Pelodiscus sinensis: one gene and its partners. The protein of the gene in region 4 purifies or fractionates together with the protein of the main gene of each other region. This does not show direct contact. Links are inferred from orthologs where the notes say so. Each region holds a gene or a part of one and is shown on either strand. Other genes may lie near its edges.

Region 1 (7,889 bases), on a different chromosome or scaffold from region 4:
TAAATGTCTGTTGCCCCCGGCCGAGGTGGAATTGAGGAATCCGGGCCCTGCGTGAGGAGGGGGAGGGGACCTGGCCGGCATGAGGGGTGGGCCAAGGGGGCCAAAGCTGCTAGGCTGGGAAAAGGCGGGAAGGCCTACTTACCACAGGGGGCTGCCTGGGCCTGTCTGACCCCCCCATCTGCCTCCAGGCTCTGGGTCTACCTGACTCACCGTGTGCAGCCTTGTCACTCGCCCTGCCTGCCCTTAGTACTCAGCACCCCCTGTTCCACCCCAGCTCCCCCTGTTTTGGGGCCCTAGATGAGTGGGTGGGAGCAGAGGAAAAGCTGAGGTACTCTGGCGCGCACGCCTCTGTGAGGGCAGTAGAACTGGGTCCTGTGTGGTGCTGTTCATTGCCGCTGTACAAAAGCATCTGGGGAAGGTCTGAGGTCTTTAAAAATGCTCCCAGCCAGCACCGGCCTGCCCTCCGGAAGCCTTGAGGTAGTGCTGTGTTCTCTAGGGGCTGGGCCCATCGCCTTTCTCAAGCTAGAAAGCTCAGCTGCCTGGTCTGCAAGAGAGACTTTCAACTCCTCCCTTGCCCCCGCCTGAAACGTGCCGGTCCTGCACTGCTGGTCCCTCGTGAAGTCCCACGAGCCGCCCTGAGGGCTTGTTGGCGGGGCCTGAGCAGCTGTAGAAATCCGCCCCGTTCAGGGCTCTATTACTCCGGGATGGAGGCGTAGTGTCTCCTGTTCAGACCAGTGCCCCAGCACGGTGCTGGTCTGGGTGATTGTCTGAACCCAGCTGTTCGGTCTGGGCCTTAGAAACGTATATGGACCGGCACCAGAGCTGTTGTAAATCTGTCCTGCCCCCGCCATGGGTGGAGCTGCCCCGGGGGGCCTGGGCCCCTGCGACCAGTGGAGCCAGGTCGTTGGGGCAGCTGAGGAGCGGGGGGCATGGCAGCTGTCAGCCCACATTCCAGTCCTCTGACTCTAAGACCACCAGGGGCCAAAATGAGCCCCAGTATAACACAGAGCCCCCTGCGCTGACTCTGAGTGCCGCAGGAAGGGGGGCGGCTGGTCCGGCTCCCAGACATGGACACGTCCTGGCTCTAGTGCATTTCCCGGCTTGGCTTGTGGATGTGCACACACCCTTCCCCCTTCCCCCGGTTGAACTCCCCACGTGTGGGAAGGGTGGGCTTACACGCTGCCATTGCCTCGTTGACTCCAGGCTTCCACCTCCATGCTGCCCAGGTGCAGCGGGTGCAGTCTGGAGCCTGACTGGTGCCTCGGGGGCTGGGCTGTGGGCAGCAGCAGAGGGAAGTTCTTTGTACACATCGGCCCCCGAGGGACTCCTCTAGGCAGTCCTGGGCTGCGACGACTCATTGACTGTGCACAAGCCTCTGCCGCTCAGAGGAACACCAAGGGCGGCCACGCAGCTGGGCTGGCGGTGGGCACGCGCCGGGGGCTTTCCCATGTGGCCGCTTCCGGCTCCTAGAGGAATGCTGGCTCTGGGCTCTCCGGCATGGAGCAGTTCAGGCTTCCTTAAAGATCCCTCATTAAATAGGAGCAGGGGTTGGCCCTGCAGTCCTGCTACCCCAGCCAGGTGGGGATAGAAAACCACCTTCCTCGGAAGTCTGTTGCATCCACTGGAGCTGGCATGTCTGTGGCCGCCTTGTTCTCCTGGGGGTCTTTCCGAGCTGTTGCCTGGTGTTGAGTTGAATCTTTTTCTGAGTTGAATTGTAGGTTCCTGTCCCTGCATCACTGTCCTTTTCGGTCATGCTCTTTCTATCATTGCTCCCCTTGCTTGGACTTACGATGAGGTCACATTAGCATAGGGCTGCATTACGCTCTCATATTGGATTGCGGCTGCTCTTGGGGAGGGGTGTGATAGTCCAATTGACCCTGCAGGCGGGGGTCCGAGTGCTGCAGGCTTTCCCCCCTCATGTTTGGGAGTGGGCCGAGCTCCCAAAATTGTATGTAGCGGTCTGTGTGCGTAAGGCGGTACTGCTGGCCCCTTCGGCCTGGTCTCCTGTGCAAAACCTGGCGCTCAGCCTGGGTCCATCCCGCTTTGGGGCGCAGGAGTTTTGCAGGACTTCTCCCATGAGATGAGTGTTTCCCACCTGTCTGATTCCCACCTTCCTCCCTTCACACACTGGCTGCCCAGCGCTCGCCCCTGCCAAGTGCCGGGGGCAGCTGAATGCCAACAGCTGCACACCGCAGCTGCCGGATGGAAGCGAGAGCCTGGCACGTTTCCCTGCGGATGCCACTTGCCACTTTCCCAGCCTGCTGCTTTCACACAAGCGATGCGCTGGGCCGGCAGGAGCCCAGCACGGTCCTAGGGGGGCCTCCCCCATTCCCCCAGTTCAGGGCCGGGGAGGGGGATGGTCTCAGGGGAGAGGCTGCTGCTGGCCCTGATCCCCCTCGCTACGGGGCGTAACGCCTGTGCCCCTCTGTGCCAGCTGCGCCCCCCCGGCTGGGTGTACAGCGCCCTGCACCCCTCCCGGCCCGGGCCCCCGCTGACCCCCGGGCTGGGTGTGCAGCGCCCTGCGCCCCTCCCGGCCCGGGCCCCCGCTGACCCCCGGGGCTGGGTGTACAGCGCCCTGCGCCCCTCCCTGCCCGGGCCCCCGCTGACCCCGGGGGCTGGGTGTACAGCCCCCTGCGCCCCTCCCTGCCCGGGCCCCCGCTGACCCCCGGGCTGGGTGTACAGCGCCCTGCGCCCCTCCCTGCCCGGGCCCCCGCTGACCCCCGGGCTGGGTGTACAGCGCCCTGCGCCCCTCCCTGCCCGGGCCCCCGCTGACCCCCGGGCTGGGTGTACAGCGCCCTGCGCCCCTCCCTGCCCGGGCCCCCGCTGACCCCCGGGCTGGGTGTGCAGCGCCCTGCGCCCCTCCCTGCCCGGGCCCCCGCTGACCCCCGGGCTGGGTGTGCAGCCCCCTGCGCCCCTCCCTGCCCGGGCCCCCGCTGACCCCCGGGGCTGGGTGTACAGCCCCCTGCGCCCCTCCCTGCCCGGGTCCCCGCTGACCCCCGGGGCTGGGTGTACAGCCCCCTGCGCCCCTCCCTGCCCGGGCCCCCGCTGACCCCCGGGGCTGGGTGTACAGCCCCCTACGCCCCTCCCTGCCCGGGCCCCCGCTGACCCCCGGGGCTGGGTGTACAGCGCCCTGCGCCCCTCCCTGCCCGGGCCCCCGCTGACCCCCGGGCTGGGTGTACAGCCCCCTGCGCCCCTCCCTGCCCGGGCCCCCGCTGACCCCCGGGGCTGGGTGTACAGCGCCCTGCACCCCTCCCTGCCCGGGCCCCCGCTGACCCCCGGGGCTGGGTGTACAGCGCCCTGCGCCCCTCCCTGCCCGGGCCCCCGCTGACCCCCGGGGCTGGGTGTCCAGCGCCCTGCGCCCCTCCCTGCCCGGGACCCCCGCTGACCCCCGGGCTGGGTGTCCAGCGCCCTGCGCCCCTCCCTGCCCGGGCCCCCGCTGACCCCCGGGCTGGGTGTCCAGCCCCCTGCGCCCCTCCCTGCCCGGGCCCCCGCTGACCCCCGGGGCTGGGTGTCCAGCCCCCTGCGCCCCTCCCTGCCCGGGCCCCCCGCTGACCCCCGGGGCTGGGTGTCCAGCGCCCTGCGCCCCTCCCTGCCCGGGCCCCCGCTGACCCCCGGGGCTGGGTGTCCAGCGCCCTGCGCCCCTCCCTGCCCGGGCCCCCGCTGACCCCCGGGCTGGGTGTACAGCCCCCTGCGCCCCTCCCTGCCCGGGCCCCCGCTGACCCCCGGGGCTGGGTGTACAGCCCCCTGCGCCCCTCCCTGCCCGGGCCCCCCGCTGACCCCCGGGCTGGGTGTACAGCGCCCTGCGCCCCTCCCTGCCCGGGCCCCCGCTGACCCCCGGGCTGGGTGTACAGCCCCCTGCGCCCCTCCCTGCCCGGGCCCCCGCTGACCCCCGGGCTGGGTGTACAGCGCCCTGCACCCCTCCCTGCCCGGGCCCCCGCTGACCCCCCGGGCTGGGTGTACAGCGCCCTGCGCCCCTCCCTGCCCGGGCCCCCCGCTGACCCCCGGGCTGGGTGTACAGCCCCCTGCGCCCCTCCCTGCCCGGGCCCCCGCTGACCCCCGGGCTGGGTGTACAGCCCCCTGCGCCCCTCCCTGCCCGGGCCCCCGCTGACCCCCGGGCTGGGTGTACAGCGCCCTGCGCCCCTCCCTGCCCGGGCCCCCGCTGACCCCCGGGCTGGGTGTCCAGCGCCCTGCGCCCCTCCCTGCCCGGGCCCCCGCTGACCCCCGGGCTGGGTGTACAGCCCCCTGCGCCCCTCCCTGCCCGGGCCCCCGCTGACCCCCGGGCTGGGTGTCCAGCGCCCTGCGCCCCTCCCTGCCCGGGCCCCCGCTGACCCCCGGGCTGGGTGTACAGCGCCCTGCGCCCCTCCCTGCCCGGGCCCCCGCTGACCCCCGGGGCTGGGTGTACAGCCCCCTGCGCCCCTCCCTGCCCGGGCCCCCGCTGACCCCCGGGCTGGGTGTACAGCGCCCTGCGCCCCTCCCTGCCCGGGCCCCCGCTGACCCCCGGGCTGGGTGTACAGCCCCCTGCGCCCCTCCCTGCCCGGGCCCCCCGCTGACCCCCGGGCTGGGTGTACAGCCCCCTGCGCCCCTCCCTGCCCGGGCCCCCGCTGACCCCCGGGCTGGGTGTACAGCGCCCTGCGCCCCTCCCTGCCCGGGCCCCCGCTGACCCCCGGGCTGGGTGTCCAGCGCCCTGCGCCCCCGGGGGGCTCCTGGCTGGGGTTCCCCGCAGCACCCCACTGTCCCCAGGCGGAGCCCCGCGGGCACTGGCTCCCCAGCCAGCGTGCGGGGGCGGGGCCCGGCGGCACAGGGGGGCGGGGCCCGGCGGCACGAGGGGCGGGGCCCGGCGGCACAAGGGGCGGGACCCGGCGGCACGAGGGGCGGGGCCCGGCGGCGGCAGTGCGCAGGCGCGGCCGGCCGGTCCCTGTCACGGCGGGATGGAGGGGCTCATCGGGCTGGTGAACCGGCTGCAGGACGCCTTCGCCGCGCTGGGCCAGAGCTGCCTGCTGGGGCTGCCGCAGATCGCCGTGGTGGGCGGGCAGAGCGCCGGCAAGAGCTCCGTGCTGGAGACCTGCGTCTCCCGGTGAGCCCCGCCCCCGGGACCCCCTACGGCCCCGCCCCCGCCACCTGCCCCCCAGCGCCCCCCAAGCGGTGCCCTCTGTCACCCGCGGAACCTGCGCAGGATCTGCCCCCCCGCGGCCACTAGCCCCCCCACCGACCGCGCCTCTGCCCCCGCCAGCCTCTAGCCTCCCCCACCCCTCCCTGACACCCCCCCCGCCAGCCTCTAGCCTCCCCCCCTCCCTGACACCCCCCCCAACCTTCCCCCCACCCTCCCTGACACCCCCCAAACCTTCCCCCCACCCTCCCTGACACCCCCCCCGCCAGCCTCTAGCCTCCCCCACCCTCCCTGACACCCCCCCCGCCAGCCTCTAGCCTCCCCCACCCTCCCTGACACCCCCCCCAACCTTCCCCCCACCCTCCCTGACACCCCCCCCGCCAGCCTCTAGCCTCCCCCACCCTCCCTGACACCCCCCCCAACCTTCCCCCCACCCTCCCTGACACCCCCCACCCTCCCTGACACCCCCCCCGCCAGCCTCTAGCCTCCCCCACCCTCCCTGACACCCCCCCCGCCAGCCTCTAGCCTCCCCCACCCTCCCTGACACCCCCCCCGCCAGCCTCTAGCCTCCCCCACCCTCCCTGACACCCCCCCAACCTTCCCCCCACCCTCCCTGACACCCCCCCCGCCAGCCTCTAGCCTCCCCCACCCTCCCTGACACCCCCCCCAACCTTCCCCCCACCCTCCCTGACACCCCCCCAAACCTTCCCCCCACCCTCCCTGACACCCCCCCAACCTTCCCCCCACCCTCCCTGACACCCCCCCCGCCAGCCTCTAGCCTCCCCCCCCTCCCTGACACCCCCCCCGCCAGCCTCTAGCCTCCCCCACCCTCCCTGACACCCCCCCAAACCTTCCCCCCACCCTCCCTGACACCCCCCCCAACCTTCCCCCCACCCTCCCTGACACCCCCCCGCCAGCCTTCCCTCGGCTCCTCTTGGGTCCCCTCAGACCTCTAGTCTCCCTCATCCCCTCCCTGACACCCCCCCGCCAGCCTTCCCTCGGCTCCTCTTGGGTCCCCTCAGACCTCTAGTCTCCCTCATCCGCTCCCTGACACCCCCCCGCCAGCCTTCCCTCGGCTCCTCTTGGGTCCCCTCAGACCTCTAGCCTCCCCCATCCCCTCCCTGACACCCCCCCGCCAGCCTTCCCTCAGCCGCTCTTGGGTCCCCTCAGACCTCTAGTCTCCCCCATCCCCTCCCTGACACCCCCCCGCCAGCCTTCCCTCGGCTCCTCTTGGGTCCCCTCAGACCTCTAGTCTCCCCCATCCCCTCCCTGACACCCCCCCCCCCCGCCAGCCTTCCCTCGGCTCCTCTTGGGTCCCCTCAGACCTCTAGTCTCCCTCATCCGCTCCCTGACACCCCCCCGCCAGCCTTCCCTCGGCTCCTCTTGGGTCCCCTCAGACCTCTAGTCTCCCTCATCCGCTCCCTGACACCCCCCGCCAGCCTTCCCTCGGCTCCTCTTGGGTCCCCTCAGACCTCTAGTCTCCCCCATCCCCTCCCTGACACCCCCCGCCAGCCTTCCCTCGGCTCCTCTTGGGTCCCCTCAGACCTCTAGTCTCCCCCATCCCCTCCCTGACACCCCCCCGCCAGCCTTCCCTCGGCTCCTCTTGGGTCCCCTCAGACCTCTAGTCTCCCCCATCCCCTCCCTGACACCCCCCCGCCAGCCTTCCCTCGGCTCCTCTTGGGTCCCCTCAGACCTCTAGTCTCCCCCATCCCCTCCCTGACACCCCTCCCCCCCCGCCAGCCTTCCCTCGGCTCCTCTTGGGTCCCCTCAGACCTCTAGTCTCCCTCATCCGCTCCCTGACACCCCCCGCCAGCCTTCCCTCGGCTCCTCTTGGGTCCCCTCAGACCTCTAGTCTCCCTCATCCGCTCCCTGACACCCCCCCGCCAGCCTTCCCTCGGCTCCTCTTGGGTCCCCTCAGACCTCTAGTCTCCCCCATCCCCTCCCTGACACCCCTCCCCCCCCGCCAGCCTTCCCTCGGCTCCTCTTGGGTCCCCTCAGACCTCTAGTCTCCCTCATCCGCTCCCTGACACCCCCCGCCAGCCTTCCCTCGGCTCCTCTTGGGTCCCCTCAGACCTCTAGTCTCCCTCATCCGCTCCCTGACACCCCCCGCCAGCCTTCCCTCGGCTCCTCTTGGGTCCCCTCAGACCTCTAGCCTCCCCCATCCCCTCCCTGACACCCCCCCGCCAGCCTTCCCTCGGCTCCTCTTGGGTCCCCTCAGACCTCTAGTCTCCCTCATCCGCTCCCTGACACCCCCCGCCAGCCTTCCCTCGGCTCCTCTTGGGTCCCCTCAGACCTCTAGTCTCCCCCATCCCCTCCCTGACACCCCCCGCCAGCCTTCCCTCGGCTCCTCTTGGGTCCCCTCAGACCTCTAGTCTCCCTCATCCGCTCCCTGACACCCCCCCCCCCCGCCAGCCTTCCCTCGGCTCCTCTTGGGTCCCCTCAGACCTCTAGTCTCCCTCATCCGCTCCCTGACACCCCCCGCCAGCCTTCCCTCGGCTCCTCTTGGGTCCCCTCAGACCTCTAGTCTCCCTCATCCGCTCCCTGACACCCCCCCGCCAGCCTTCCCTCGGCTCCTCTTGGGTCCCCTCAGACCTCTAGTCTCCCTCATCCCCTCCCTGACACCCCCCCGCCAGCCTTCCCTCGGCTCCTCTTGGGTCCCCTCAGACCTCTAGTCTCCCCCATCCCCTCCCTGACACCCCCCCGCCAGCCTTCCCTCGGCTCCTCTTGGGTCCCCTCAGACCTCTAGTCTCCCTCATCCCCTCCCTGACACCCCCCCGCCAGC
Region 2 (7,364 bases), on a different chromosome or scaffold from region 4:
CAAGGTCGAATTTATAAACAGAGCGTACACACTCCCAAGCTTGTTATTTTGAAATAACAGGCTGCAGAATTTGAAATCTCTACTCCTGCTTTTCACCAGGAATAACGTTAATTCTGAAATAGTTATTTTGAAATAACAGTAGTGTGGACGCTCCAATGTCACCATTTCAAAATAATTACTCCCCAGAGTAATTCAAACTAATTACTCCCCAGTACTTCCTGGGGCTCTAAGTCTAAGGTACTGTGTCCACATTAACGGACCCTGGTTTGGACTAATTTCAAGGTTTCCCCATAGTATGGACACACTAGTTTGAATTTGTTAAATCAGGAGTTATTAAGTCGCATTTACTAATTTCAAAATAGATTCCTAGTGTAGACACCGTCTTTTTAAATAACTCAGAGCATCTGATCAAAGTGTTGTAGCACTGACTAAGCACTTGAAAAAGTGTATATATTCTCCTATATTGATAAACACCTAGCCTGTTCCCCCAATCCTTCCTCAGGGTTTATATTCTTGTCTATTTATAGACGTCTCTTGTATACACACAGGCTCAAGAACATGAACCACCTGGTGTAGGGTTACTTTATAACCTGATTGCCTGAAGTTCTGAACATTCACATCCAGTTGAAGTCAGTGGGAGCTGTGGGTGCTTAACACCTCTGAAAATCAGCTGTTTATTAGCAGGAGCCAAATTGTAATAGTGTCTCCTCTTTGTATTTGGTTTGGTCTGGTCAGGGCCAGATTAACCCATCATTGGGCAGTCGGCAAACATACACTTATGGGCCTCTGACTTCTAGTCTAGTGGTTTTCAAACTACTGTTCATGACCCAGTACTGGGTCAGGCACTGGGTCTCCTTGCTGCAGGGGGATCAGGTGACCAGTGGAAGTGCTAAGGCTGGCTACCAGCCTGTCCTGGCACCACAGAAGTGGCCAGCAGCAGGCTTGGCTCCTACGTGGTGGTGGGGAAAGCGCACAGGACTCTGCACACTGCCCCTGCCCCGAGCATTAGCTCCGCACTCCTCTTGACTGGGAACCTGCTGCTGGTTGTTTCTGGGGTGCAGCATGGTCTGTAGTGCCAGCGCAGGCAGGAAGCTGCCTTAGCACCCCTGCTGCACCGCTGACTGAAAGCAACTCAAAGTAAGCCCCTCCTGCCACAGCCCTGTCACCGTCCCCCCTCAAAGCTGGAGCCCCCTCCTATATCCCAAAGCTCTCATCCTCAGCCCCATTCCACAGCCCACACTCTAGTCAAATTATGTCAGGTTGGAGGCAGGGGGGAAAGTAACTTACATTTCTTACAGGTACTGTCCTAACACAACCCAAGGGAGGGGGCTTATAGCAAAAGTTGTGATACAACTATACCTGTAAGAAATTTAAGTGTGCAGTGGAGCACCGGGGCGGGGGGGGGGGGGCGCTCAGGGCAGAAGGTTGGGGTGGGCAGAGGTGCAAGAGATAGGGAAGGAGGCTGGAGATGTGGGGGGTGCTGGAGACAGGGTTGGAGTGATGAGGGGCTTGGAGCAGGGGTTTTGGATGTATGAGGGGCTCAAGGCACAGGGTTGGAGTGTGTGTGTGGGGTGCAGGAGTGTTATGGCAGGGGCTGGAGTGTATGAGGGGCTCAGGGCAGGAGTTTAGGGTATGTAGGGGTACAGGAGTTAGGGCAAGGGGCTGGAGATGTGGGGCTGCAGGAATCAGAGCTGGAATGCATGAGGAGATCAGAGCAGGGGGTTCAGGTGTATGAGGGACTCAGGGCACAACATTTGGAGTGTATGGGGGGTGCAGGAGTGTTAGGTCACGGCAGGACAGGGGGTTGCCACCAGCCCTTCCTGCAGCCAGATGGGAGCTGGACCACTAAGCCTGCCTCAGGATGGGGGCCAGAGACAGGCTGTTGCAGCCAGATGGGGGCTGAGCCCTGATTGGGGCCTTGTTGGCCAGGCGGCCAGGGCAGGAACTAGGGATGTAAAAATTTAGTCGATTAACAGATAAGCAAAAGCTTATAGGTTAATGCTGTAAGCTACACGCATTGTGCCCCCCGCCCCCCCACTTGCCAGTAAATTATTTAGCAGACTGGCCAGCAGCCCGGCTCAGTCCTGGCTTGTGATGGGTCCGGGACCTACCCCCGCTGCAACTTTGCATTTAAAGTGTATTAGGAGCTGGGTAGGCAGGCAGCCCAGCTCAGTTCCGGCTCACGCCAAGTTCAGAAGCTCAGACCACTCCCTAGACAGGGGCTGCTGCCACCCCACACTGCTGCCTCTTTATCAGAGGCAGCAGCACAGGACAACAGGTAGCTGGTCCACAAGGGGAGCTAGTTTTTAAACTGGCTTCTCTCATGGACCAGCTCCCAGCTGTCACCCCACGCTGCTCTCTCTGATACAGTGGCAGTAGCACAGAGTGGCAGGGGTCTTCTCGGGAGTGAGGCTGGAGAGTACTGGCTGCTAGCCTTGCCCCCAGGGACTATACAACAGTGGACTAACTGATAAGAATTCATGAGGTTACTCAACTATTCAATTCACCAATATTTAACATCCCTAGTAGGAACCTGAACTCGGCCACAGGGGCTGAGCTCCTGCAGCAGTCGCTGGGCTGCCAGAGCTAAGCTGTGAGGTCTGCCCCAGGAGCACAATGGCTGGGGACAGACTACAGAGGTTAGATGGAGGTTGGAGCCCCCACCACTAGCCCCTCTCACTAACCCAGTTGAGAGTACGCACACATCCCTTACAGCGCGCCTTCAGTTGGTCCCTCTACATGAGCTGAGTGCCCCAGCCGGCTCTTGCCAGAGTGCAGTCAGTGCTTACTGCAGTGGTGCACCGAGGCATACTTCCTTACACTCTGGTTGCAGGCTCAAGTGATTTTCTTCAACTGAGCCATGAGAAAAAAAGTTTGAAAACCACTGTTCTAATTTGAATAACTACAAACAGCTGACATACACACCATCATTGGTCAGTCTACAGTATAAGAGCTCTTCCTGAAATAAGGCAGAGTATAAAGAACTCACATCAGGCCTGTGGTATCTTCCAAAGTTGTGTGTAGCTTGAGAGCCAAAGGTTATCGGTAATTTAAATTCTAATTTTATGAAACATAAATATGAAAGTAAGATAGCTGAGTGAGAACTCACGAGAAATCCTGTTGTTGCATCTCTGGCTCTTCTCCATCCCTCTGGTTATATATTAGTCAGATTTTTAAGACATGAATGTCAGTTGTTGCCACAGTGCACTTTCAGCGTTCTTTTGCAAGCCTTTTCTAAGGGAAACACAAATGTGTTAATTTAATTTCATATCTCCCGTGGAACAGAATGATCAAAGTGATGATTTCTGGAACACAGACTCACTCAGAAGGAAATGCCTCTTTTTATAATGTTAAACTGACAGATGAGGATAAAATCCAATATTCAAATAGTTTGATGGTGCTACTCCTTGCAAAAAATGTTAATAGCGGCCATCAAATACATTCAATTTTATGTACATTTTAGAATTGCTGATTACAGCAAACCTCTTATCAAGATTGTGGGGGTGGGGCGGACTTGGACTGCAAACAACATGACCAGAGTGAAATTACTTACCTGTAAGGAATATTTTTGTTTTTCCAACAACACTTTCAGTTTAATTATGGCTGTAAATGTTATTTTTGTAAAAACATTATTTTGCAAACTGAGCCAATTAGTTCCTCTTTATTGTCTCAGACTGTTAAAAGAAACAGTGGAAACACATATGATTAAACATTTCCTTGCATTTTTTGTAAATCAAACAGCAACAATGTCTAGGGCATTATAACCAGAAATTGAAACGGACTGGGAACAAAACAGCAGAAATTAAACTGCAGAAACAATTAAAAGTAAATTAAAAGTAAAATTAAAAAAACCCCTTCTACTTTAATTATTAGTAAGCTAGGTACGTCCATTTACAAGAACAGAGATTATTTACAAAGATGTAATTTAAAAACCATTTAGCTATTAATTGCAGTTTCTCTTGAATATTGAAAGCACAGATTTGTGTGTGTATGGGGGGGAGTCTGTTGTTTGGGAGGAGTGAAATATTTCTGGCTTTTTCATTACAAATATATCAATAAATATTCAGATCCTCCAGGTTTCACATTTTGGAGGATTGATTTGAATACCAATTTTGAACCCCTTTTACGATGGAGGATTTTTGCCGTGTTTCCATCAGACCCCGGCAGACTCCCTTGTTCTTAATGTCCCTGTATAGGAACAGATCCCAGGCTATTGAAGGCGGATACTCTCAAGACGCCTGGCTCCCAGCGTAGCTCCCTTCTCAACACCTTTACGTTTACCTATACGAACTACAACTCCCATGAAGCTCTCGGAGCACAGTAGGGCACGTAACACCCCCTAGCGGTCGCTGATGCTACGTGCGCTTTAAATCCCGTGAGGAGCCGGGTGGCTAGCGGTGCTTGAGCTGGCAGTCGGGGTGGCAGCCCTGCTGCAGAGACCAGGGACCTAGGTTAGGCGGAGTGAAGGGGAAACAAACGCACCGCCCAGCTGAGGGCTGGGGACAACCCCTGATGAGGACTTGGGGGGCCAAAGCCCAGCAGTAAATCCTTTGCCAGGGAAGCGGGCGGAGAGAGGCGTCTGCATTGCAAGCCCAGCAGCGAGAGCCCAGCAGAGCTGCAGACATGGGGAATCGAGGGATGGAAGACCTCATCCCCCTGGTCAACAGGCTCCAGGATGCCTTCGCGGCTATCGGTCAGAATGCAGACCTGGACCTGCCCCAGATAGCCGTGGTGGGCGGACAGAGCGCCGGGAAGAGCTCAGTGCTGGAAAATTTTGTGGGCAGGTAAGATTTTTAAAATGCAGCCGATTATAGGGGAGGTTATGGGAGCAATGCATTGCTCAACGGACATGCCATGCAATGCTTAATGCAGTGCAATACAGGACAGAGGAGGGGGGCCGATCTTGCCCTCTTCAACTTGAGGTTCTTGGGAGAACCGTCATCCTAGCCCCTGCTACACACACACACACACACTGCACCCTACAATGCAGATATCAGGCGTCTCTGTGAACAGTGACATTCCCTGGATTGTCACCTTCACTAGCAAGAGAGCCCTCTTCCCCTCAGCATAGAAGTGCATGTGTGTGTTTGTATAAATGTCTGCTTTGAAATGGTAATATCTAATTGGGAATTGATCAATGGCGGGCAGCATATTGCTTGGTGGGCTGGGAGGGGTGAGGTGGAGAGTGAGTGTGAAAGAGGTTGAGGGAAGAATGCAGCATCAGGCAAATCCTGCTTTTGGAGTGACTAATGCACAGAAGAAGCCATTTGTTTGGGGGTGGAGAGGGAGTAGGAAGGAACAGAGCTGATGTGCTGCCCACATCCCAGGGGATTTAATGGTTTTAATCCTAAATCGTTTATTTATTTATTTTTGGGAGCTACATACAAGAAGGCAGAATCCTGGGGATGAGCAAGAAGCCAGGATGGTGGAATTCTCCCCCCCCCCCATCCCCCCCCCCGCTGTTGGAGGACAATTGCTGTGGGCACTGGCAGGGTGGGGAGGAAGGCACTGCTTCAAGGGGAAAACGAATAACATAAATGGCTGCATATAAAAAAATCATGGAAATCCAGTAAAGCACAGACTAGTGCTCCATATGTTATGTAATGTCACGGACAGAAATGTCAGGGGGAAAATAGCCACACTCTTGTGTGTCCTTTATTTTTATCACGTCAAAGACCTGCGAGCCAGAACCAAAAATGATACAGGTTCCACATCTTTTTTGGCAATGTATTATCTAAGGTGATTTAAAAAAATACTAATCAGTGAATATTGTGTGTGCAGATAAATAATTGTATAAAAACCTGTTAATACCAAGATGCCCTTTAGCCATGGTGATCTGAGGACTAGCTCCATCAAGACTAGATTTCTTGTTTGCTTTAAGTTTCACCCTGAAGAATCCCACAAGAAAATGCTAGGAAGATTGGATTCACATAGCATGTCCTCAGCTCCTGATTATACCTGGCTAGATATAGGACATGCCTTGAACCACACGCAGCTACCTAAAGATGGATGTGCTTGTTGTGAGGCTGTGCAGCAGTGGACTTTAAGTTCAATTTCATTTTCCCCCACCCCTTTCTCTGTCCTCCATAGTGGCTGCCATGTCAGGAGCTGGGGGGAGAAGCAGAAAAAGCAATGGTTATTCCCCTACGTGTTCAACTCCCTGGGTGCTACCATTTTGTGACCGTGATATTCTGGTGCTTTCCCTTCATGTGACCTTCACATTAATCACCAGCAGTTTCAACAAATACCAGATGATCAGGGAAGGTGGTCTGCACACACATAGTATACACAACACCTGGAGTGTATCCTGAGCTTGTTTGTAGCTTGCTTAAGCTATTGTGGCCCTGGCTTGCTATAATCCTTCCCTATTAGGCACTGCTATCCTTTATGACCAAGATACAGGTTAGTGCTGATTTCCCTGGGAGGAATTACTTTCTTCCACCAACTGCATTCTCCCTCTTCTTCCCCTGCTTTATTGCATGGGCACTCTCCTTCTCTTTCGCCCCTACTAGCCCCTGCACTATGACATCTGCTATTTTATAGCTCTATTATCATTGAAAGAGTCTGTCATGAGCCCAAATAGCTCCAGTTTTTGTGGTATTTGAACAGAGTAAGTCCAGTATGCTGTACAGGGGCTCAGGTGACCCTGAGCAATGAGACTCAGTATGGCATTAGGAAGATGCCACTGCTGCTGTTTTTGAGGAACAAGAAAACATAGCAGGAATCAGAGTTGTTTAAATAAAATCTCCCATTGTCACATACTCAAAAGAGCCTGAGATTCTTCTCTGCTGATTTTCAATGGTCTATTTCAGAGATTCCATTCTGAATTAGTGTACCTGGGAATCAGGATGTGGGAAGGCTGTCCAGAAGCCTCCGCTATAATTATGGTTTATTTGTATTACCACAATACTTAGGAGCTCCCATCGTGGAGCAGGACCCCATAGTGGTAAGTGCTGCACAAATACCAGAACAAAAAGATAGTTTCTGCCCTCAAAAGCTTACAACCCACTGTGATCAAACCTGCTGGGAAGAGAAAAAGGGTTCCCAGAACTGTTACTGAGCAAAACCTTGGTTAGCCCGTTGAGTTTGTTGCTGTCATGGTCCCCCCAAATCTATCTTTTGTGGAAGTTCTATATGGTGACTACAGCAAGGATGTACCAAGTGTGTTCATTGAGCAAGAGCTGTTTCAGAGCAAATAGCTCCTTTCTTTTAGATAGAGCAAGCAGAAGGGGACAAATTGTAACTTCACTGATTCCAATGCAGAGCTTGAGCTTAGCGGCTTGACGGAGGGTGAATGAACTGAATTATATTATCCATAATTTGCCAGTGACCTTTGTCTCAGTAGGGCTCATGACCTCACTACA
Region 3 (7,362 bases), on a different chromosome or scaffold from region 4:
TTGGCTTTAGCCCTGGCATAGTAGACAAGAAGCTTCCATACTGAACTGGTGAACAGGCAGCTACATCAGACCATGTGAATCACCATAGGAACTCTAAAATCAACACCTCCTCTCATGGCTTTCTATTTCTCCAGTAGTTATCTGACTCTCCAGTAGTTATCCACTGAGATTTAGGGCAGCATCAGAACTTAAATTCACCAAAAAATATCCAGAACTTCCCATCCTGCAGGTTATGAACAACATACCCCAACAATGCCTGGAATCATGAAAAACTTGTGGCCACCTCATGTCTCTGGATCCTGACTGGGAACAGCAAAGCATCTGGACCCCACGTACTATTTCAAACAAGCATAGTATTACTGACCGGATAACGTGCACACAGACTTTTGAGCACGTTGAACTGCATCTGAACTAGGGAAGTAGAGATGTAGAAGTGTATCTGGCTAGACAATAAGTAAATGCTACTCAGTTAACGCTACTGGTTACAAGCAACACCCCACATTTATTTTGGGAGCCAGAGCATGGTCAGTCTGGCTCCATACCGACTCACAATTTTTGTCAACTACACGATTACCAAATTACACACTTCCTAACATCCCTAATCTGAACAAACCACAGAAGATACAACTGCTTGATGCACAAGTGGAAAAAATCAAAGACTCACCTTCATGCAAAAGTATTGATAACATCCAAACTATTGAATACATCATAATTCAGTGCCCCAAACATAGATTCAAAAGTGAATTGGATGATATTCACACCACCACAGAAAAGGCATTGAAATGGCTTAGAGACCTACAACAGCTTCTACCAAATGTTGCTCTGCAGATTCCAAACAAGCGTGAGAGATGAAATGATTCTAAAAACCATCTGTGAATATTTTCATGTCAAGTTACACTGATCATTTTATATAGACTTTACTGAATCTTTATAAAAATGACTGCTATGTAAAAATACCTTTCTTCAAAAATTTTGTTCTTATTAGTAATATAAGATGGACTGCATATATGCATGTTTTTTATTTTTAACAGACCTTGGGAATGGAAATGGACGTTATTATAGATTATTGCTTTGTCTTGCTACTTTCTATAATATAGAAAATAGCAAGACAAAGCAATAATACATACAAAACTGAGGTTAAGAAATGAAAACTATCATAATAGAACAGACTGAACAGTTACTGTAAGAACTGAGAAATGACAGATTAAGGGATATAATAAGTCATTTTCATAATCTGTGAATGTATTAAAAATGAAAATATGTTTGACATGGAAATGCATTTATCAACTTTTCACATTCTACTTAACATATTGACTTACAGAGGACAGCCACAACTCCAGACTCAAACATGAGGCACTCTTCCTTATTTCTGGTTTCCACTATCACACTGAATGGAGGTGGATCCAATTTGTGATAGACACGATATCCTTTGCTGAAAGCCATTTTTCCTTTACCAGAGGCAGACCTGTGCAATACAAGACCATGCCAGTGAAAACTTCCTCTACCTCCAGGGTTCTCACTGCAAAGTAGCACCAACTTCCACCCTGACTCAGTTATTTTAAGAGTATTTAATAGGGGAGGAGACAAGAAGAGTGAAGACATGAAAGGCCATGAGGAAGACAGAATTTATAGAAGGGCTGAATGATTTAAGTTCAGTTTACTCAGAAAAACAGACTCAAGGGATATTTATAGATAAGCATTATCATGAGTTGTTTTTTAGAAAATAAGCAACTTTAAGAAGAGCTTACTTGCAAATTCATTAACAAATCCATTTGTTTTAACAGCTTATTATTTCTTTGATGAGAGGGAGTTATTGACTTAAACAGTGAGCACAAAGAGTGATAACAACCTAATGATGAAAGTAGGTGACTGGGAGTTAAGACAGGTTCCATTTTTTACTCAATTAGTGAGTATGACCAAAGGGCCACTGTCAGAGAGTTTAAGCTCCGAACCTGTTTATTTTTACAAAGCCTAATAGTGATAGAAATGTTTTGGTACCTTGGTGGTTTTAATGGATCTGGGAGTTTTGTTGTTGCGTTTGGTTTGGATTCAAACCCTTCCCTGCATTATCTATTACAACACCGGGCTAGAGAAATTGACTAGAAATTGGAAGGTGAGATTGCTAAAACAGAGCAATTTTTTTTGCCTTTTGCATATTTTCCCTTTTGTTTTTGTAGTTTTTAATTATTTAAATTAACCCAGTGATTCTGAGATCACTGATTTTAGCCAGTCTAAGATGTTATTAGTAGCAAGGGTAGGGCCTTTTAAAATCAGAATAGTTACCCTCTATCCTAGCAGTATCCCCAGAGCCTCTCCATTTCTCAGTTCCCTTGAGGTCCGATATTTACCTGTCTCATCCCAGGAGGCCGGCGGGCACAGAGCGCTCTGCCAAATGCTCTGATGGAGCAGCGGCAGAAGCCCAGGCTCGGCTTATTCCTGTTCGAGGGGGGCAGAGGCGCCGCAGAGGAGCGGCGGGGGCGGGACACGAGCGAGGTCATCCCGGGCCGGGGCTCCCGGGGAGAATGCCCGCGGGCTGCGTGCGGAGATCTGCTCGCGCCACGGGGCAGGGAGGGACCTAGAGCCTCCCCCACGGCAGAGCCAGCCCAGCCCGAGACCCGGGAGACAGGGCAGCCCTGCCCCGCCCCAGGGACGGACGGACCCGAGCACTCCCGCACCAGACAGACGGGCCGTGTGGGTGTCACTGAGACTCAAGGGGCCTCCATCTTGTGCCGCTGCGAAGCCGCTTCCCTCAGCCCCGCGCGGGGACGGTGGCACCTGGGCTGCGCCGCGCAGCCTCCCCCCCGCCCCGCGCCGCAGCGCCCCCGCCCCGCGCAGGCCCCGGTCAGCACCGCCCGGCCCCTACCGGCTTGGCCGCCGCCACCTCCAGGGGCGCCTCCTGCTGCTGCCGGCTACAGCGGCTGCCTCACTTCCGCTCTGGCCCGACCATCTCTTCCGCATTGCGCCGCCCGGGGCCGGAAGTTGGGGGGGGGGGAAAGGGGGCGGAAGGTGGGAACAGCTGAGCGGCGCGCGAGGCAGTGACATGGGGCTGTCACATAGATACGTGGCTCACGAGCCCCCAACTCTGCGCGGAGGGGAAGCTTCTTAACACTCGGCGCGCGCCTGGCGGGAGCTGCGCGGGGAGGGGGGGGGGGGGTGTAAGTAACCGTGCCAGGAACGCGCCCCAGGGAGGTCAGGGCTGCAGGGCCCGGGAAACCCCCTGACCAAGGGGAGCCTCCTGCAGTGTTGACAAGCTCTCCTCAGTTTTAACGTCTCAGGCTCTGAGGAGAATTTGCTTTCCTCCAAAAAGTTTTCTAGCCCCTGCGGTTTCTAAGAAAAGCTTGCAGGGTAACTCTGGTTGTCAGTCCTCCAGGAATTTAAAAAAAAAAAAAAACTTTCTTCATGTCACCTCCAGGAATATCTACAGCCTACTTTGGCAACTCTAATGAAACAGCTGTACCCTATACTCTTTGAGCCTAGAAGGCAAAGAGGAAGCACCCCAACTTTATTTGTAAAGATCTCGTGGTGTTTTAGTCACTTATGGTTACCGAAGATTGCGTTTGCCAACACTTTGTCACAGTTATTCTTAGTAAAAGTCATGTACAACATATGGACAATAAATAAAAATGTATGAAAGTTCGTGTGACCTTTCCTTGAGATTGTGACAAAATGGGGAATGAGGGGTATACTGCACTCACTGCTGTTGCAGTTACAAGGGGTCCCCCACCACAGCACATGCTAGTTGGGAACTACAGGTGACCCCTGGGGCGAGAGCTCCAACCTCACCATACAGGGGCTGAAGAGGAAATTGTCACAGAGGTCCCTGGAAGTCACGGATTTCATGCCATAATTTTAAGCTTACTTATGGGGGGTGAAAATTTGTCATACACTCCCTTGCAGGGCCTGATTCAAAGAATGCTGAAATCAAGAGAAACACTGATTTATGGGGGCTTTTAATCAGTCCCCAAGCAGGTTTACAATATCCTTTAAGACCTGCCTTTCTCAGGGTCAATCAGTGGTGAGATATGCAGTTAGGGAAAGTTGTCATCCACTTTATTTTAAAAATTATAGGCATAAATACAAGTCTGTTGTGTCCTCTTCCAATCATTTATCACTGGTCTCAAGCCCTGCTCCTGCAAATATTTACATTAGTATCTTTACATGTAGTTAAGCTCAATGGTGTGTGCTTAAGTGTGTGCAGGCTCAGGGTCCCTTATTTGTGAACTCTTGAGCTCAGGGACCATGTTTACATCTCATGTGTTTGGACCTCTAGTGAGATAAATGGTATACAATCTTGGCTGAGGCATCTCTCCTATGGAAATACATCATCAAATAAGAATAAAAATGGGAAGTGTCTCATTGGATTTCACAGGGCCTTTACCAGACCTGAATCCAGCAAAGACCTAAGCACACATTTGTAAGCAGCTTCAGAGGGGTAGCCGAATTAGTCTGTACAGTATAAACTTAAAAACAACCAATTGTCTGATAGCACTTTAAAGACTAACAAAACATGTAGATGGTATCATGAGCTTTCATGGGCCCACTTCTTCAGATGACGGGAGTGTTGGATGTCCAGAACCAAAGATAAATAGGGAAGGGGAGGGGAAAGAGGCACTGGATAAATATCAAAGGGAAAGCCAAGCTAGTATGTAACAGGCAAAACTGAGAGTCTGTGAGTACCTAAAGACTGGATAGTTAAAAGGAGATAAGAGCCATTAGTTAGCAATTAGAAAGGAAGAGTACTAACACCAGATTCTACACAGACAAAGCACCATTGGAACCTTCATTGTTTGTTTGGTTGATAATATCCCAGCCATCCGGTATCTCAATTCAGACCATTGGCATGAGAATTAAACTTGTGAAGTGAATTAATTGTAGTTCCAACCCTTCCCTGTGTATTTGGCTTCTGGAATTGGTCTGTAACAAAACAGCAACTTGAAGATCTCTTAATGAGTGACCAGGCAGATTGAAGTGTTCACCAACAGGTTTCTGTATGTTTCATTTACTGATATCTGATTTGTGTCCATTGATTCTTTCCCATACGGACTGTCCAGTTTGTCCAGTATATATTGCAGTGGGGCTTTCCTGGCATAGATAACATTACTGGATGTACAGTTAAACAGGCCTCTGATTTGGTGGCATATGTGGTTGGCTCCAGTGATGAATTCACTTGTATAGATATGTGGGCAGAGTTGGCACCAGGGTTGATTGCACAGCTGAATTCCTGGATGCTTATGATATAGCTGTGTAGCACGGTTACCGGAAAGAATTTGTTTGGGAGGTTCTCTGTGAGTGAGATAGGCCTTTCCCCCAAGGTCTCAGAGCGAGGGATCATTTTCCAAGATAGGTTGTAGACCTGCCAAAGGTCCTGCCTGCTCTGCTCTGGCAGCAGCCTTTTGGGTGACCTGTTCCTTGGTCCAAGGAGCTGCTTTGGCAGGTGAGGCCGAGGGCATGGCAACTCATGCTGGGTACGGAGGAAGGACCCGGCCAGGTGTGGCCCCTGTTGAAAATGCAGCAAAGGAGCCAGGGGAATGCCATACCACAGGTCTCCCCAAGAAAGTGTCTCTGGCATGCGCCGGTGGCCCAGGCCCAGGTGCACTCCCTCAGCCTGCCACAAGCTGGTCTTGGCCATACTGCACCCCCAGACCTTTGGGGACAGCTTGGTTACACTGCATCCCAGTTATTTTCTCAGCTCTTTGGAGCAGCTGCTCTGTACTCTGGGCTCCCTGGGCAAAGCACAAGTGCAGCTTGACAAACTCTCTCACCGCCCTGTTTCCCCCACCCCCATGAGGTTGAAGCATCAGCACTGGCTTCCTGAGAGGGAAGTGGAAGGAGAGAAAACCCTGAGGCTCCCCGCTGTGTGAACAGCAGTATAAGGATGCACTTCAAGGAGGCTTTTCCTGCTGCTCAGCAGGGAATTGAGTGAGGGGGTCACTGGTGCAAGGTCTCTGTGGAGGTGGTGAGTGACAGGGCTTGGGGGGGTCAGGGGTCTCAGATGGGGGAGGGGAGCAAATCATTTTTGTCCATTATGAATATAGTACAGAAATGTAATCAGTGAAACAGTCAACTGAAAGCCTGCATTTTTATTCTTTAAAGTGTTCACTAGTGAGCTGCTCCCGTGTTCACTATATTCACTCACCCCCCTCTCTGTCCACTTCTGCATGAGAACTTGATGACGTTCAGAGAGCGGGGGAGTGTGATGTCATTCTGTTGCCTAGCAGGAAATTGTTTCTTATATATGTACTGAAGGGTATGCATGGAGAGGCATGCTGTGGCTCACCACCCTAGCAACAGCCTGGGGGAGGCTAAGGGGGGGGGGGGGTGAGCTCGGCATGTGGAGTGGAGAGGTGCAGGCATGTGACAAACAAAGCCATATATGGAAAGGTTGAATCTGATTGGTTAAGAAGTTTGTGTTATGTAACCTGTAACCATGTGCTATAAAACAGCAAGGGGAGGGGCTCCTTGCTCGAGGGGCTCTGGCTGATTTTAGTACCAGGGGCTCTCCCTTTGTGCACATTGAATAAAGTATTGAATTGAATTGAATCGAATTGAATTGAATTGAATTGAATTGAAGACCCTTGATTCTGCCCAGCACCTGAGTCTCTGGGAACCGCAAAATCCCAACAGTTTCTTGGCGCAGCGAGCAGGGTGAGAAATATCCTTCAGGATCAAGACCTACAATCAAGTTAGAGGGTGATTTTGTTCATTTTTCATTTGGTTGTGTGTCCCTGACCTGACTGGTGACTCTCACACCTTTTGTAGTAAGTGAAACTGGGTGTTGGAGAATTTAAGGGGTTTGTTGCAGTTTTGTAACATTTTGGTTGCAGTCTTAAGACACTGTACTTAGTGTGGGGGCAGGTTAAGCTGTAAGTTCCTCTGACTAAGTGTTGTTGAAGTGGGAAATCAAAGAGGCCATAAGGACCAACAGTTAATGTAGGGGCAGGTATAGCCATAAGTACCTCTAGTTAATGTGTTGGCTGGCCCAGATCTCCTAATTGGAAATTATTAGTTTGTAAACAGTATTGTATTTAAAGATTTTGAGATTGGAGGATATTTAGGTTTAAAAAAAAGGGAAAGATGAAGGGATTTAGTGATCCACAATATGAAGAGTGTTTAATTAGTGCTTTTATCACTATTGTAGCAGTAAGTTTCTTAGTTTTCTTGTTGAGATATCTTGGCTGTGTGACTGAAAGAAAGAAGGATGACCAACCCCCATTACAAGTGGGCAATACTGATTTTGTGCATAAACCACAATATTTATCAAAGGACAAATTGGCTGGCATGTGTTTAATTGTTGATTATGAACAGCTGGTTAGAAAGTGCAATATGCTAAAAGGAAGGATAGGAGAGTTAGAAGCAGAGGTA
Region 4 (7,494 bases):
GGGCAAAGACCCACTTCGTCAGATGCATGTCAGATGAAGTGGGTCTTTGCCCACGAAAGCTTATGCTCCTACACTTCAGTTAGTCTATAAGGTGCCACAGGACTCCTCGTCGCTTTTGCAGATTCAGACTAACACGGCTACCCCTCTGATATAAATATGTGGTATTTTCTAAATAGGATGTAATGTAGATTGTGCTATAATGTCAAGTGTGTCTAGTATTTTTGTTGAAACCATCTGGCAACCCTATCGAGGGGCAATAACAAAACCCAACATAAATTCTATCTTAATAGCTTTTATGCAGAAGAGGAGACTTTTCATTTCTAAAATGCACATTGATACCTCAGTTTGAGGCATGGGGCTTTAGAAATACAAATCAGGTTTTGAGTAGATAAAGCCATATGTATCAAATAGAAAACATGAGCATGATTCAGGAAAGTGCTGAGTACTTTTCCCTTTATCCAGCAAAATATTTAGGCACATGAATAGTCTCATTAAAATCAGTGGGATTACTCATATGTCCACGAAAGCTCATGATACCATCTACATGTTTTGTTAGTCTTTAAGGTGCTATTAGACTATTTGTTGTTTGTTAAGTTTTTCCTGTTACAGACTTACTCGGCTACCCCTCTGAAGCGTTTAAAGCTAAGAACATGGTTAAATCTTTTATGATCAGGATGAGAGTCCTCAGCACTCTTGCTAGGCAGCAAAAAATTTACCAATACAAAAGGTTTTAGAAATCACTTTAGGTGTCTCCTATTGGCAGTTGGTTTGTGCTAAGACTTTTGTGTTAGCTTATAATGAAGGTTTCAGATAGGCAGAGAATTGTGATTTCCCCTGCACATAAAAAAAATCCTATAAGAATGTAGACATGAGCAGCTACCAGGAAGTTCCTCATATAAACATTTCTGTCTACATGGCTATTAGGCTGCAAATAATCATGGGAAGACTCAATTGACACCAATTTCCCAAAATATTCCTTCCCCCTGTGAGAGGGAGGGCAAACCCCAAAGGAAAACCTGATTGCCTGTACACATGTCTAATAAACCTCCTTGTTAAGATCAGCTTGTGGAGGAACATTGTCTAGAGTCAAAGATGAGATTTTAGATGTGTAAAGAGGTCTGGCAAATTATTACTTTGTTTTGTATCTAAGATAATAGATAAATGTTGTTTCAGTAGCTATCGGGGTAGAGAGCAAGATGTTTAGAACAAAGTGGAGAAACACTGAAGTGTTAGGAGGAAAGGTTCCTCCTATGTATGAGAGGTTCATTCTGAAGAACTGTTCTAGAATGAAACAATTAGAACATACACACATCTTAGCACATCTGTCTGGTTTGTCAAAGTAATTTAAAAACAGAATCAAAATGGAGTTTAAATATTTTTCAGATTAATCAGTTCTTATTACTGTAGCACCAACCACAGCATTTTTTGTTGTAAAACAGCTGCTTCTCTGCTCTGCAGCAGCCACATGTGTTCTTTATTGCTGCTGTTCAATATGATACCTAGAAAAAACCCCATATATTTCACTTTATCTACATAAAAGGCGGGGAAAGTTGCAACTTCATTTCCAAGTTAAAAGACTTGTGGGCATGCTGTTTTTCTGTTTTGTTAAAATTGCCTGGCTTAGTGGAAAAAGTTACCCATAGCAAAAGAAGCTTGTAAGCACTTCAGATACAGAAATATGCATGTAAGGTGTTTTGTAGCTTCACAGTATTATACATGATTTTTAGGACTAATAATGCTTGACTCATTGACTATTTGTACATTTACACTACTTTTTAAAAAACTGGATTGAAGCTGAGATGTTGCTACTGGTCAAACCCCAAACAAAATACACCCTCAAATAGCTATCTATGCAAACTAGGCATATAGATAATCTATGCAAAATATGTTTGTATTAAAGCCATTATATTCTGTCCCCCTCAATTTGTTTCACCCTATTGCAGCTTTTCCCTAGCCTATACATTGACTGGAAAAAGAACTGTCTTTTACTGTAACCCTGTAGAGTGAGACAATAAGCTGTCATGTTGACTAGTATTGTCTCTGTTTTCTTGTCCTCCTGCTTCTGTCTGCAGAGCTGTGCCATTCATAGGACGAATTGGGGTGGCCACCTGGGTTCCAGGCTTTTGGGGGCCCTGCAGTGGCCGCTCCAACCATCCTATAGATGGGAAAGACCTGGGATATACAGGGGCTTGGCATGGGGTGACAGCAGGGCTTGCCTGCACTCACCACACAGCAGCAGGAGCCAGAGTACCCCTACAACCTGCTCCACCCTGCTATGCCACCCTCCTGGCCCGCTGCACTCTGCTTCCTGCTGCTGCGGAGAAGTGGGACACAGCAGGCTGGGAGGGTGGCATGGCAGGGCAGAGCAAGCTACTGGGACATTCTAGCTCCCACCACCCATGTGGTGGTGGTGGTGGTGGGGCAACCCCTACTACTGCCGCACCAAGCTCCCCAGGCCACATTGCTCGGAGGAGAAAATAAGGGGGAAAGGAGGTGGAGAAGGGACAGGGCTTAGGGAACGGATAGAAAGGGGGCAGGGTCTGTGATGGGAGGTTGCCCTAGGCTTCACATCTTATGACTAGAGCACTTGGTGGAGGGGGGATAACATCAGGCCCTGCACCCCCCTTGGGAAGGCCCTGTCTTTGGTCTCTTGTCTTGTATGTCTACACTAAGGCTGTGTCTAGACTGCATCCCTTTTCCGTAAAAGGGATGCAAATTAGACATATCGCAATTGCAAATGAAGTGGGGATTTAAATCCCCCCCGCTTCATTAGCATAAAAATGGCTGCCGCTTTTTTCCAGCTCGGAGCTTTGCCGAAATAAAGCACCAGTCTAGACGCGGATCTTTCAGAAAATAAAGCCTTTTCCGAAAGATCCCTCTTAAAATGAGGGATAAGGGATCTTTTGGAAAAGGCTTTATTTTCTGAAAGATCTGCATCCAGACTGGTGCTTTTTTCCGGCAAAGCTCCGAGCCGGAAAAAAGCGGCAGCTATTTTTACGCTAATGAAGCAGGAGGGATTTAAATCCCCGCTTCATTTGCAATTGTGATATGTCTAATTTGCATTCCTTTTACGGAAAAGGGATGCAGTCTAGACACAGCCTAAAAGTATTACAGTGGCACAGCTGAAGGTACACCACTGTAGTATTGTGGGATAGACACTTGCTACAGCGATGGGGATTTTCCATCACAGCACTGCATCAGTTCCTCTTAGAGATGGTAGCTAGGTTGACAGAAGTCTTCCATTGACCTATAGGTACCAGGTCAAATTAACTATGTCCCTCAGGGGTGTGAATTTTTCACACCTAAGCACGTAGACCAGGCCTTAGTCTCTGCCCCAAAGAGCTTACAGCCTATCTTTTTGGTTCTTTATTTGTATAGCATCTAGCACAATGGGGTCCTAGTCTGTAACTGAGATACCTGGAGTATTTCTACACAGGCTGTAGCAGTGAGTCTCCCAAGCGGGGGTCAACAGACTTGGGCATATGCTACCATGTCTAAAAGAGCCATATAGACATTTTGGTTTGGGCTCTGAAGCCTCCTCTTTGGGCTTCAGAGCCGGAGCTGCCACTCCAACATATATACAGCTACTTTTAATATGCTTACATCAGCAGTGGAACCCTAAGTCTGTGAACTGGGATTGGGGGGCTCGCTGCTGTGGGCTATGTAGATGTACCTGATGGCATGAAGTATAAATAAATAATAATATATAGTGTCTAGTACAATAAGCCTGATTGGTCTTTTATGTGTAACTGTAATACTATCAGCTTGCTGAGGCCCAGCTGACACACAGCTTACAAACAAATTACACATCAAAAGACTGAAGTCAAGAGGAAACTTGATGTGATAGTAGATTCATTTCCTAGAGGTCCAGGTTTCTGAAATTACTGTTCCAAGACTGAATGGAGGATACCTACTTTCATAGAAAAAGCAAAAACAAACAAAAAACACCTCATCTGAGAGTAAAATATTTGCATTGGGAAATATTTGGCAATGGGAAGAGTTGCTTAAAAATGCATTCACTTTTGCATTGGTGGTCTCTTTTTGTAGGAGGGTAAATATGTCAGCTGTGTCAAATGAATCTACCAATAGTCCCTGCAGTACATTAAGGGCTGAAGCAAAAATTATGTTAACACTCCCCCCCCTTAAAAACCGAAAATTTTAAGTGACTAGGGCGATTGTACAAACTGCCTAAGATGCAAAGCACCCAAAGAAAATACTGAGGCTTACGGCAAATGAGTGAGGAGAGTTGGGGCAAATCTAAATAGTCAGGATCAAATTCTGCCATTAAATCGGTGTCAATCCGCAGTAACTCCGGCTTTGCACCTCACGTGCCGCCTCTCTGATTCCAATCCTCTGCCCTCGCCCAGCCGAGCAGCGTGCGCCGGGGCACAGGGAGCGTTTGGGGAAGCGAGACGGGCGGAGAGCGGGACGAACAAAGAGGCGAGGGGGCAGAGGAGAGCCGCGAGCGGGGAGGGGCCGGGCCGCTGCCCTGGTGCTACATTAGCTCCTGCCCGGCCGGCGCGGCGCGGTTGTGCCGAGCAGCCCGGCGGCCGGAGGGGGCGGTGGCTTTGTGACTGGGAGTAGCTGCGGCCCAGCAGCGGCGGCGGCGGCTCCGGGCCGGAGAGACGCGCGGCGGGAGCCCCGCGCCAGCAGCACCATGGCCACCAAGGTGAGGGGCCCGGCTCGCTTCGGGCCGCGGGGGGGTGGGGCGAGCGGCGTGGGGCGCCCCCTCTCGAGGGCGAGTCCCAGGGGCCCTACGGGCGAGGGGGGGGCTGGTGCTTCTCTGCGCCCGGCCCTGGCGCCTGTGGGGCGGGGGGCGGCCCCAGGGCGCTGTGGGGGTGCAACCCCCCGAGGGCGGCTCGGGGCAGGGGGAGGGGGGCAGGTCCCGGGGTGGCCTCCCCCCCCCAACCCCCCCGGCGTGTAACCGCCAGGGCCGGGCGCTCCAGGAGACACCCACCCGGGGGGCGTGTGACCGCGCCTGGCGTGGGCCCTGGACCCGCTCCCGGGCCTGCCAGGCGGGAAGAGGCGTTTCCAGCGTCGCAAAGTTTTAACAGAGAAAACTTTTTCTCCGCCCGCTCTTGGCGGCCTGTCACCTGAGCCCGCAGGCGGCGGTAGGGTCCCGCTGCCCCACAGCGAGCGTCTGGCCCGGGCCCCGTGTAACCCACAGAGCGGACGGGACCCCTTCCTGAGGTGCTAACCGCAGCTGCACCTCGTTTAAACACCCCTCTCTGCGCCGAATAAACCACAGCCGCCTAACCTGAAGACTAATACTAGCTGGAAGAGCTGAACCGTGTCTCGCTGTTTATGATGTGGGTGTGTGCATTTTATCCTGTCTGGATAGATTGGTCAGTTTCATTGCGGTGTCTTGTTTGGGGTCTCCTGTTGTGGCCAGTAGTGGCATAGTTTAGGTGGGAATATTTGGGGGAGTGTTTTTAAATTCAAGCACATTTTTCATTGACCTTTCAAAGAAGTGGCGTGGACACCTTTCTCTTCACACTCGGTATTGTAAAACAAAGAAATAAATCTTTGGGGGCCGAAGAACGCCCCACGTATCTCTTTAATTTCACAGTTGTGAAAGGGAAAAAAAAACATGCAAACAAACTTGGGCCTTTACTTTTGAGAGTTGCTGAGTGCCTGCAGCTCCTGTTGACATATGTGGTAGTTGTGACTGTTCAGAGTCCTTGGAAAAAGTCCTCGTGGAACCAATCTCTAGAGATCTGAATGTCATTCAACTTTGCATTCTGTCCTGTATTTTTCTATACTTCCCATTCAGTCAGGAAGGAAAATGACTGTGGTCTTAAGGCCTGGTCTACACCTGAGACCTAGGTTAACCAGCTAAGTTACTCAAGGGTTTTCAAATCCCAAGACCCACAATTAAGGTGACCTAAGCCTTGATTTAGACACCTCCCAGTAGACAGAAGGAACACTGCAGCAGTGCTGTTGCAGCATTTTAAGTGTAAACATAGCTTTAGTATGTGATACAATGACTTGTGTTACAAAAACATCAAACACAAGACTTAGTTGCTCAATGGAACTATGATTCTGTGTATTTGCTTGGCAGCATTGCTTGTTTTTTGTGTATAGTGTAATAGGGTTTATACACCTGATAATGTCCAAATATCGAGGGTATCTTTTCAAGTGAGTTTGATTGCAGTAGGATAAATTCATTTATTCTCTTCTAATGGCTATGGTTGCCAACTTTCCTGATCGGACGAACCGGATGCCATTTGTGGAAATGTTGTCTGGTACGGGAGACTAGGAAACCCTGTAGTGGTGCATTTGTGTGTGTGTTCCACTTTATAAAACAAGAATACCACTAATAAATCGGCCACTTGTAATCTCTAATTGCTCTTATAAAAACTGATATATAAAAAAAGTATCTTCTGAATAATTTTCTGTTTTTTGTAGATTATGTAAAATACTGTTTTCCTTCTGCCATGTTATTTTGTAGCATGTGAATTAGCAATATTTGGAGTTATGTCTGAGTTTTAGTTGTGTATATGGTTTCTAAAATGTATGATGAGATTAGTTTTTGCTGTTTCTGAATATTATTAGAAAATGAATGTAGTAATTGAGCTTTGCATTTCTGGAACCAGTCTAAGTTTCCAACAGTATTTATTTGCTATATTAGTATTTTTTTATTTTAACTTTTTAAAGTTCAAAAGTACCTTTAAAGAAAACAAGTGTTCTACTTATTGTGCCATGTCACAGTATTGGAAACAATGTTTTTGGGACACAGCTGGGTTGCATAAACTAGTTCTGCAACTTAGAAAGTTCATTTGTGTTAGTAGTAGACCATGTTCCTATAAAATAGTGATAATATGATTCTTAATACGTCACAGATTTGTATATTGTACATATCCAATTTAGTGTATTAATAATATTTTATAGTCACAGTACTCTTTAGATAAGAAGCCTAAATCACAAATCAAATAGGTGTTTTTGAAACTTTTATCCTTACACCTAAAATTGGGTTTGATATGTATCAGAGGTTTAGAATGTTGATGGACTGGGCTCAGTGTTAATATTTTTGGTATAGACTAACTTGCGTTAAGTGTGTATATGTGTGCCCATGGACACAAAGGGCACTTCATGTGGTCATTTGTGGGAAAACTGCATTGCTTCTGGCAAATATGTACTTCTGCAATTGGGGTAATCAGTTCAAATCGTGTTCATTTCAATGTGGAATAGGTCCTGCACTGTATTTAAAGAAGGCTATGAAGAGCCATTGTTACTTTTTTCTGGTACAGAATTAACTTAATTGTATAAATGTAGAGAGTTGTGCTCTCGTTTTTTTTTTTTAAATAGCTCCCTGATTTAAACTTCTTCAGAAACAGAAGACCGATCATGTTGTCCCTAATTTAACTAATGTTGTGGGCAGAAGAGCAGCAATTATTTTTCATTCTTCTTTTATTAATTTTTAGGCACAATTTTTGTATTGCTTTTTTATTTTAACTTTCAGTATTTACAAATTGAAAAGTGGGCTTTTTTGTT

The links.
Region 1: the proteins of SNX9 (region 4) and DNM3 purify together in Homo sapiens (co-immunoprecipitation; 3 studies listed by BioGRID and IntAct, counting the BioPlex papers as one, with this or other methods). This does not show direct contact. The link is inferred for Pelodiscus sinensis from reciprocal best matches to the Homo sapiens genes SNX9 and DNM3.
Region 2: the proteins of SNX9 (region 4) and DNM1 purify together in Homo sapiens (co-immunoprecipitation; 6 studies listed by BioGRID and IntAct, counting the BioPlex papers as one, with this or other methods). This does not show direct contact. The link is inferred for Pelodiscus sinensis from reciprocal best matches to the Homo sapiens genes SNX9 and DNM1.
Region 3: the proteins of SNX9 (region 4) and SYNJ1 purify together in Homo sapiens (co-immunoprecipitation; 3 studies listed by BioGRID and IntAct, counting the BioPlex papers as one, with this or other methods). This does not show direct contact. The link is inferred for Pelodiscus sinensis from reciprocal best matches to the Homo sapiens genes SNX9 and SYNJ1.

Annotation. Positions count from the first base shown.
Region 1 is NC_134719.1:64,104,221-64,112,109, forward strand, and holds the start of DNM3 (dynamin-3), read left to right. Parts: upstream 1-4,879; 5' UTR 4,880-4,928; coding exon 4,929-5,074; intron 5,075-7,889. UniProt on the Homo sapiens protein: Microtubule-associated force-producing protein involved in producing microtubule bundles and able to bind and hydrolyze GTP. Most probably involved in vesicular trafficking processes, in particular endocytosis.
Region 2 is NC_134732.1:11,330,151-11,337,514, reverse strand, and holds the start of DNM1 (dynamin-1), read left to right. Parts: upstream 1-4,357; 5' UTR 4,358-4,623; coding exon 4,624-4,784; intron 4,785-7,364. UniProt on the Homo sapiens protein: Catalyzes the hydrolysis of GTP and utilizes this energy to mediate vesicle scission and participates in many forms of endocytosis, such as clathrin-mediated endocytosis or synaptic vesicle endocytosis as well as rapid endocytosis (RE).
Region 3 is NC_134711.1:182,895,597-182,902,958, forward strand, and holds the start of SYNJ1 (synaptojanin-1), read right to left. Parts: upstream 3,010-7,362; 5' UTR 2,959-3,009; coding exon 2,864-2,958; intron 2,814-2,863; exon of another isoform or gene 2,349-2,813; intron 1,466-2,348; coding exon 1,320-1,465; intron 1-1,319. UniProt on the Homo sapiens protein: Phosphatase that acts on various phosphoinositides, including phosphatidylinositol 4-phosphate, phosphatidylinositol (4,5)-bisphosphate and phosphatidylinositol (3,4,5)-trisphosphate. Has a role in clathrin-mediated endocytosis.
Region 4 is NC_134713.1:112,089,938-112,097,431, forward strand, and holds the start of SNX9 (sorting nexin-9), read left to right. Parts: upstream 1-4,489; 5' UTR 4,490-4,657; coding exon 4,658-4,669; intron 4,670-5,289; exon of another isoform or gene 5,290-5,304; coding exon of another isoform or gene 5,305-5,313; intron 5,314-7,494. UniProt on the Homo sapiens protein: Involved in endocytosis and intracellular vesicle trafficking, both during interphase and at the end of mitosis. Required for efficient progress through mitosis and cytokinesis. Required for normal formation of the cleavage furrow at the end of mitosis.